Xenopus tropicalis: one gene and its partner. The protein of the gene in region 2 binds, or shares a complex with, the protein of the main gene of each other region. Links are inferred from orthologs where the notes say so. Each region holds a gene or a part of one and is shown on either strand. Other genes may lie near its edges.

Evidence for each region.
Region 1: the proteins of eed (region 2) and ezh1 are in contact, whole or in part, in a cryo-EM structure (PDB 7KTP), measured with the Homo sapiens proteins. The link is inferred for Xenopus tropicalis from reciprocal best matches to the Homo sapiens genes EED and EZH1. Residues at the interface, in NP_003788.2 of Homo sapiens: Cys84, Val85, Asn86, Ser87, Leu88, Lys89, Glu90, Asp91, Trp103, His104, Ser105, Lys106, Glu107, Val112, Arg120, Leu123, Tyr124, Gln129, Gly130, Glu131, Ile132, Arg133, Leu134, Leu135, Gln136, Ser137, Tyr138, Val139, Asp140, Tyr154; in NP_001982.2 of Homo sapiens: Gly37, Ala38, Lys39, Leu41, Tyr42, Val43, Asn45, Phe46, Lys48, Val49, Gln50, Lys52, Thr53, Gln54, Leu56, Asn57, Glu59, Trp60, Leu63, Arg64, Val65, Gln66, Pro67, Val68, Gln69, Ser70, Met71, Cys83, Thr84, Ile85.

The regions. Positions count from the first base shown.
Region 1 is NC_030686.2:22,264,896-22,268,641, forward strand, and holds the end of ezh1 (histone-lysine N-methyltransferase EZH1), read left to right. Parts: intron 1-238; coding exon 239-320; intron 321-558; coding exon 559-639; intron 640-1,091; coding exon 1,092-1,176; intron 1,177-1,591; coding exon 1,592-1,652; 3' UTR 1,653-3,123; downstream 3,124-3,746.
Region 2 is NC_030678.2:168,824,314-168,828,225, forward strand, and holds the start of eed (polycomb protein eed), read right to left. Parts: upstream 2,479-3,912; 5' UTR 2,396-2,478; coding exon 2,291-2,395; intron 1-2,290. UniProt on the Homo sapiens protein: Polycomb group (PcG) protein. Component of the PRC2/EED-EZH2 complex, which methylates 'Lys-9' and 'Lys-27' of histone H3, leading to transcriptional repression of the affected target gene.

The DNA of each region.
Region 1 (3,746 bases), on a different chromosome or scaffold from region 2:
TGTTCCGAAAAGGTCGCCACTTTGTTGGATCTGATTTTAACTCACGGGTGATGTTGGCTTACACACTGTAATAAATATGCCCTTCAGTGTATCCCTTGCAACATTATTGGGGCTGTGGACAAATTAGTACATGAGATGCTAGTAAGATGTTCAGATGACAAAAAAATGTGGGTTTTTATAAAAATCTGGTAGTTTTCTTGCTCGGTATTTATGTATTATCTACTTATTATATTTTTAGCTGATCTCTCAAGACGAAGCAGATCGAAGAGGAAAAGTTTATGACAAATATATGTCCAGTTTTCTCTTTAACCTCAACAATGGTAAATCAGTTATTTTATGTTCCTTAGTCATTCAGCACTTAGTTAGGGTATTCTTAAATGAGCCCTTACATGGTACAGACCTAACCCTGTGGTGTATATATATTTTCAGTTAAAATTGGGTCAGTCTAAATGTTACAGCTGGCAATAAGCATCTAATAATGCAGCACCTGGAAAGTAATCTTGGTATCACACCTTGTGCTTCACTTCTTATATTTTCTTTTTAATGCTTTCTCTTTAGATTTTGTTGTTGATGCTACACGTAAAGGAAACAAAATCAGATTTGCAAATCACTCTGTTCATCCCAATTGTTATGCAAAAGGTAATGTAAAACTGAGGGCATCCCATGCTGGTTATTGAAAAATAGTGACACTTCTGTCTCAGCTTATTGTTTTGTAATCATGTATTTATATAGCAACAGCAATTTATGCAAAGCTTTACAATAATACAGAGATCTGACACATAGGGGCTGATTTATCCAAATGTAGGTTTAGAGCTGAATACATAGTATGCCCTGACGTATTAGGGAATTAGAGATTTGCAATGAAATAAGGCAGGGTCAGCATGTGAGCTAGAAGTTAGTAAGGATTCACTTGGTCAAATCTGACTGCCCTCTTTATAGTGAGTCCTGTTCATTTATAATTTACCTTTTTTAAACTGGAGACCTCCACCTCTATTGCTTTCAGAAAAGCTCAGTACTTATTTTGGTCATTGAGGCAACAAGTAGATAGCAATCTGTTATACAACTAAATACAAATTTTGTTACCATTTAAGTGGTAATGGTGAATGGAGACCATCGGATTGGAATCTTTGCTAAAAGAACCATACAAGCAGGAGAAGAATTGTTCTTTGATTACAGGTAAGATGGTGCTAGATTTAATGGAATGAAATGTACAGTTTATTGATGTTTGATATTTGATATTGTAGCTGCAGATTGGGTGGATTTGGTCTGGAAAATGGACCATGACTTTGAGTGGGGGTTATCACTGCTCAGCTAAAGCACACACAACTTTTTATTTGCATGCTGAGGCTGGGCTTCACCTAGCTAGTCTCTTTGATGTCACCTCTGACATTAGCTAAGAGGGTGGGTTAGGCTTTGGTCTTCAAGTCTCTTCTCAACAGCAGGCCAGGTTGGGCCTGATTGACAAGGGGCAAGTTAGGGTGGCACACATCACCAGTATACAGGTTTTCTAGTGGGTTTCTGTGTTATGGATAATACTGGTTCGTAACGTCTGTTTAAGCAGTGTTTTTTTTCTATCTGATTTGTTTTTCAGATACAGCCAAGCTGATGCCCTGAAATATGTTGGTATTGAACGAGAGACTGACATTATATAATGTCTTCGAAATTTGGTTGTTTCATGTACTTTGTCACTGCACCTTGTGATGATGCTGTTTGTTGTTGTCTCTTTCCATTTTCTTCTTTCCCATCCCCTTTGAATGCATTGGGAATGGATGCCAGAAAAACTCCTGATATTGCCAGGCATCTCTTGTTCGCTCAACCATTTGCTCTTTTATACTGCTACCAGTGAATTTCCCCCTTAATGTAGGAAAGAGAAAAAATGGAGCAAATGAGGAGGAAATTAACAAATGAGAAGAGGTTGAAGGAAAAGAGTAAAAGAAGGAGCATATGACAAAGACTAAAAAAGAACTGAGAACAAAGTAACAGAAGAGGGATAGAAAAGAGAAAACCCAAGCAAGAAAAAACAAGGCATCATTGAAGAAGGACTATTTATAAGAATAAATGAAGAAAGGAAGCAATTACAGAGAAAAGAATAACTTTTAAAGTGTGGACCCGTTGTCTAAAATGTCCTGGTGGGCACATGGGAACTGACACATCAGTCTGACACAGGACTCCATAAAACTGTACTGTTGTGAAAAGAACTCTTTGCTGGCCATTAATTCTGACTATTCTGTTGCTACAATTTTTTTCTGGGTTCAAATTTTATCACAAATGGTAGGCATGCACTTGTCAAAAACATTAGGCTCATTGTTCCTTAGTTACACTGATCATTATGTTTAGGCCACTTCTCTATATGGAAATCACTTGTTTCACCCTCACAGCCAATCCTACACACAAAAACTACACACAGACATGTCCTGGAATGCGTAACAGGGTTAAATGGGAATATACAGGCCCTGGTTTCATAGACCAGGAAGAACTAGTGAATTAGTAAAAAAGTTGGAGGGAGCAGGCTGCCATGTCACTGAATAGGAATGATGGAAGAAGCAGTCCGGTATGTGACCAAAGAGTTGGCTGTCATGGAGTAGCATTGAGCAGTAAGGGAATAGGCAGCCACGTGAGTAGGTAAGAAGGGCAGGAAGTTCAAGTGGGGGAATGGGAATGCCATGTCAACTAGCAGGGAGGGAGAATAAGCAAGCAGGCATATCTCAGAGAGGAATAAAGAACTGGTGGGCATGCCACCAAGCAGGAAGGGAGTAAGTAGCAGACAGAAAGCTGGTGGAAAATAGGGGGTAGACATTGATGGACTGAAGTGTGGGGGACAGGGAAATGTTGATGGTTTGGTGGTGTAGTGTACTGTAAGGAAATGCTGACTGACTAATGTGGATGGATTAATGTATTGGTTTTCATCATACATTCTATGAAAAAGTCAACATTAAAATAAGCTTATAGTTTAGTAAACATTGGTATTCTATGACATATGTAGATATCAGTCTCTGCAGTGTCTGCACTCCAATGCAAAAAACCTTGTATCTTGTGGGGTGTGCAGCCAAATTTAATTATTTAGCAATAAATATGAAAGGTCCTGTTGAGGACCGAAACGTCAGATTTTTTATATAAGATGGTCGCATTAACCTTGTGACAATTTTATAGGGTGTGCCAGTCATGGAATATTTTTTGCTATACAGGTATGGGACCTGTTATCCAGAATGCTCGGGAGCTTTCCGGATATGGGATCTTTCCGTAATTTGGATCTCTGTATCTTAAGTATACTAAAAATAATTTTAACATTAATTAAACCCAATAGGATTGTTTTGCCTCAAATAGGATTAATTATATCTTAGTTGGGATCAAGTACAAGGTACTGTTTTCATAGTACAGAGAAAGGGAAATAATTTTAAAAAATTAGAATAATTTGCTTATAATGGAGTCTATGGGACATGGGCTTTCCATAATTTGGAGCTTTCTAAATAATGGGTTTCCGGTTAACAGATCCCATACCTGTATATATGTATGTATACACCACTAACAATGATTATGGATGTACAAAGGTATGAAACATACCACGGTCCTCAGCGCTTTAGATAAAGTTCCAGTGAAGTGCTGTAATGGCTGTGATACTGCTGCTCCTCTTACGAATATAACCCCTTTGACCGGGTCTCAAGCGTGTCCAGAAAAGTGTGAAGGGAGCGCATGTATAAAGTGAAACAAAAGAACTGATAGTGTGAAAACATTTTGAAACTTTGTTC
Region 2 (3,912 bases):
GGCTTTCCCCCCACTGCAGTGACTTGTGTAACATCTCTGTACCCGCTGCTCCCCCTCTCCCTCTGCTTGCAGCCTTACACCTTTACCTCTGGCTCCCACAGCAACTCAGTCTGTATGTTCCCCATACCCATAAGCCTTTTCCCAACTCTTCCTCACTTGTTTATTCCCTCCTGCCGCCACTTATGTAATATTACTGCCACCTCTGTCCCTTCTGTAACAACCCCAGCTTACTTCCCAACACCATCTGATCCCTTCCCCACCCAGCCCCCTTGCCAGCTCCCAACCCAGCTTTGTGCCACTTCCACCTGATAGCATTCCTATCACTTCTGTAAACCCCCCCAACACTCCCTGCCACTCATGTCTGCCCCAAAACTTCCAGCCACTCATGTCTCCAGTACCCTCAGGCTCTCTTGCCCCCCCCCCCCCCCCCAACACCTTCAGCCACTTCTGCCCACTCCCAGTACCCTCAGGCTCTCCTGCCCCCCCCCCCCCATCACCTTCAGCCACTTCTGCCCACTCCCAGTACCCTCAGGCTCTCCTGCCCCCCCCCCCCCCCCATCACCTTCAGCCACTTCTGCCCACTCCCAGTACCCTCAGGCTCTCCTGCCCCCCCTCATCACCTTCAGCCACTTCTGCCCACTCCCAGTACCCTCAGGCTCTCCTGCCCCCCCCCCCCCATCACCTTCAGCCACTTCTGCCCACTCCCAGTACCCTCAGGCTCTCCTGCCCCCCCCCCCCCATCACCTTCAGCCACTTCTGCCCACTCCCAGTACCCTCAGGCTCTCCTGCCCCCCATCACCTTCGGCCACTTCTGCCCACTCCCGGTACGCTCAGGCTCTCCTGCCCCCCCATCACCTTCAGCCACTTCTGCCCACTCCCAGTACCCTCAGGCTCTCCTGCCCCCCCCCATCACCTTCAGCCACTTCTGCCCACTCCCAGTACCCTCAGGCTCTCCTGCCCCCCCCCCCCCCATCACCTTCAGCCACTTCTGCCCACTCCCAGTACCCTCAGGCTCTCCTGCCCCCCATCACCTTCGGCCACTTCTGCCCACTCCCGGTACCCTCAGGCTCTCCTGTCTCCCCCGCCCCCCCCATCCCCTTCAGGCTCTCCTGTCTCCACCCCCCCATCCCCTTCAGGCACACCTGCCCACCCCCAATTGGGCCCCCTCTTGCTTGTCCCCAGCACCTTCAGCCACTCCTGCCCACCCCACAGTACCCCCAGGTGCTGCTGCCCTCCCCCCCCAGCCGCTCCTCTCTGCCTCCATCATATTTAACCGCTCCTGTCTGTCCCCCAACACATTCAGTCGATCCTCTCTGACCCCAGCACCTACAGCCACTCCTGCCTATCCCCCCAGCACCTACAGCCACTCCTGCCTACCCCCCCCAGCACCTACAGCCACTCCTGCCTGCCCCCCAGCACCTACAGCCACTCCTGCCTATCCCCCCAGCACCTACAGCCACTCCTGCCTGCCCCCCAGCACCTACAGCCACTCCTGCCTATCCCCCCAGCACCTACAGCCACTCCTGCCTATCCCCCCAGCACCTACAGCCACTCCTGCCTATCCCCCCAGCACCCTCAGGTGCCCCTGCCTGCCCCCCAGCACCTACAGCCACTCCTGCCTGCCCCCCAGCACCTACAGCCACTCCTGCCTGCCCCCCAGCACCTACAGCCACTCCTGCCTATCCCCCCAGCACCCTCAGGTGCCCCTGCCTGCCCCCCAGCACCTACAGCCACTCCTGCCTGCCCCCCAGCACCTACAGCCACTCCTGCCTGCCCCCCAGCACCTACAGCCACTCCTGCCTATCCCCCAGCACCTACAGCCACTCCTGTATATGGCCCCAGCACGATCAGGTGCCCCTGCCTGCCCCCCAGCACCTACAGCCACTCCTGCCTGCCCCCCAGCACCTACAGCCACTCCTGCCTGCCCCCCAGCACCTACAGCCACTCCTGCCTGCCCCCCAGCACCCTCAGGTGCCCCTGCCTGCCCCCCAGCACCTACAGCCACTCCTGCCTGCCCCCCAGCACCCTCAGGTGCCCCTGCCTGCCCCCCAGCACCTTCAACTTGTTCTGCCTTCCTACCCGCTCGCTTAACCCTTCTGCCCCACACACCTCCCAACAACACTCGCCTTGCCCCCCGCCCCTTTAGCATCTCCCCGCACCGTTCCGCCAGCTCCGGTAACTTTAGCCCCACTTCCCCCGAAGCCCCCCGGCAGCCTGCTCGCTAATAACCCCAGCACCCCGGCAGCATCAGTGCGCCCTGCGTTCCCGCCTCACTAAGCCCCTTCCTTACGTTCTCATCCCCAGACAGCTCCGGGTTACTGTTCTCATCGCTGCTGAGCTTCTGTTTCTTGGCCGGCATCTCGTTTCCCGCCGTGCGACCGGAAGCTTCGGACATGTTCCTCCGCCGAGACGTGACGTCAGAGCTGTGCGCCGCTGGCAGCCTGGGGGGGGGGGGACCATGTGACCCGCTGCTTTGCGCATGTGCGGCACTTTGAGTGCAAGGGTATCAATATAATAGGCGCTCTATGTTATACAGCACTGGGAATTACCAGCCCCAAGCCAACTTGTCACATTACAGTCAACCATTCCTTTACTCCTGGAAACTCTATTCTCTGGGCAGGAATCCCATGAGATTTGTTTCAATTTATTACCCACCCATGGACTGAAGTTGTGACACTAATGATAGAGATTTCAGCAACATGTGGTGAAGTCACACAGAGCTACTAGTAGCAGCTACTTGTCACGGCTACTAAAACAGACAATGCTGATCATTTACTGATAATTGTCTCTACGTGTGTTTTAGCAGAGGCAATTCTCAGTATTGTCTATGGCAGGGGATTTTCTGGCGTTTAGTAGCCATGAGAAAGTAGCTGCTACTAAGTAGCCCAGTGTGTCTTTGCCCCAATAAAATAGACAATGCTGATCATTTACCGATAATTGTCTCTATGTGTGTTTTAGCAGAGGCAATTCTCAGTATTGTCTATGGCAGGGGATTTTCTGGCGTTTAGTAGCCGTGACAAGTAGCTGCTACTAGTAGCTCAGTGTGTCTTCACCCTAAATATGAGAAAATCTGCACCCCTGGAAGAAGAAGATTTGCTATAATGGGCGCCTAGAGCCTAAGATTTTTGCCAAGCCAAACGGAAGAGATCTGTACGGAAGGTGCTTTCTCAGAACATGGAACTTCAGGAGTTTTCTGTATGTTTTGCCTATACAGTAGGAATATGAAGATAAACATCTAAGACCTAAGAGTCTCCATTTTGAATGCCTTTACTTTTGAGACTGGTTTAACAGTTTTTTTAACCCCGAATTCTCAATTCTGCTTACTTCTGAGCAAAATATACAGGTACATATATATTTCCTTTCTGGGAACTTCAATAATGACTTTCTTTGAAAGTAGATCCTGAATAATAACCTATAAGGCTTCCATCACCTATGGAGTTCTTGGTTTGAAGAGACAAATAAATGCTGAGCATTGGAAGACAATTCAAGATGGCAGTCCTGGGACACAATATTTAAAACCCAAAGACCCTTGGCTTGGTGAACCCATGCTGATCTGAAAAGGACAAGCTTTTTGATTAAGCTCCAGAGTATAAGGAGCGAAATGTGCATCAGGCTTTAAAGGACAATGAAAGGTTAATATAAATTAAAAGTAAGGCTAAAGGCATTCTTTTTAAGTACTTACTGCATATCTAAATTCCCACATCCCTGCTTGCTTCTCTGAGATATGGTGCTGGCAGCCTACAGCAGTGTGAAGCCTACAGTGACATCACTGAAATCTCTCTCCCCTTCCTGTAGGTGCCAGCGGCAGCCTTCCTATTGTCTGGGCATGTGTGTAACTTGATCCTGTCTCCTGTTCTGAGCTACACATGCCCACCAGCCAATCAGAAGCGGATCTGGCAGAGGGGAGGGGGG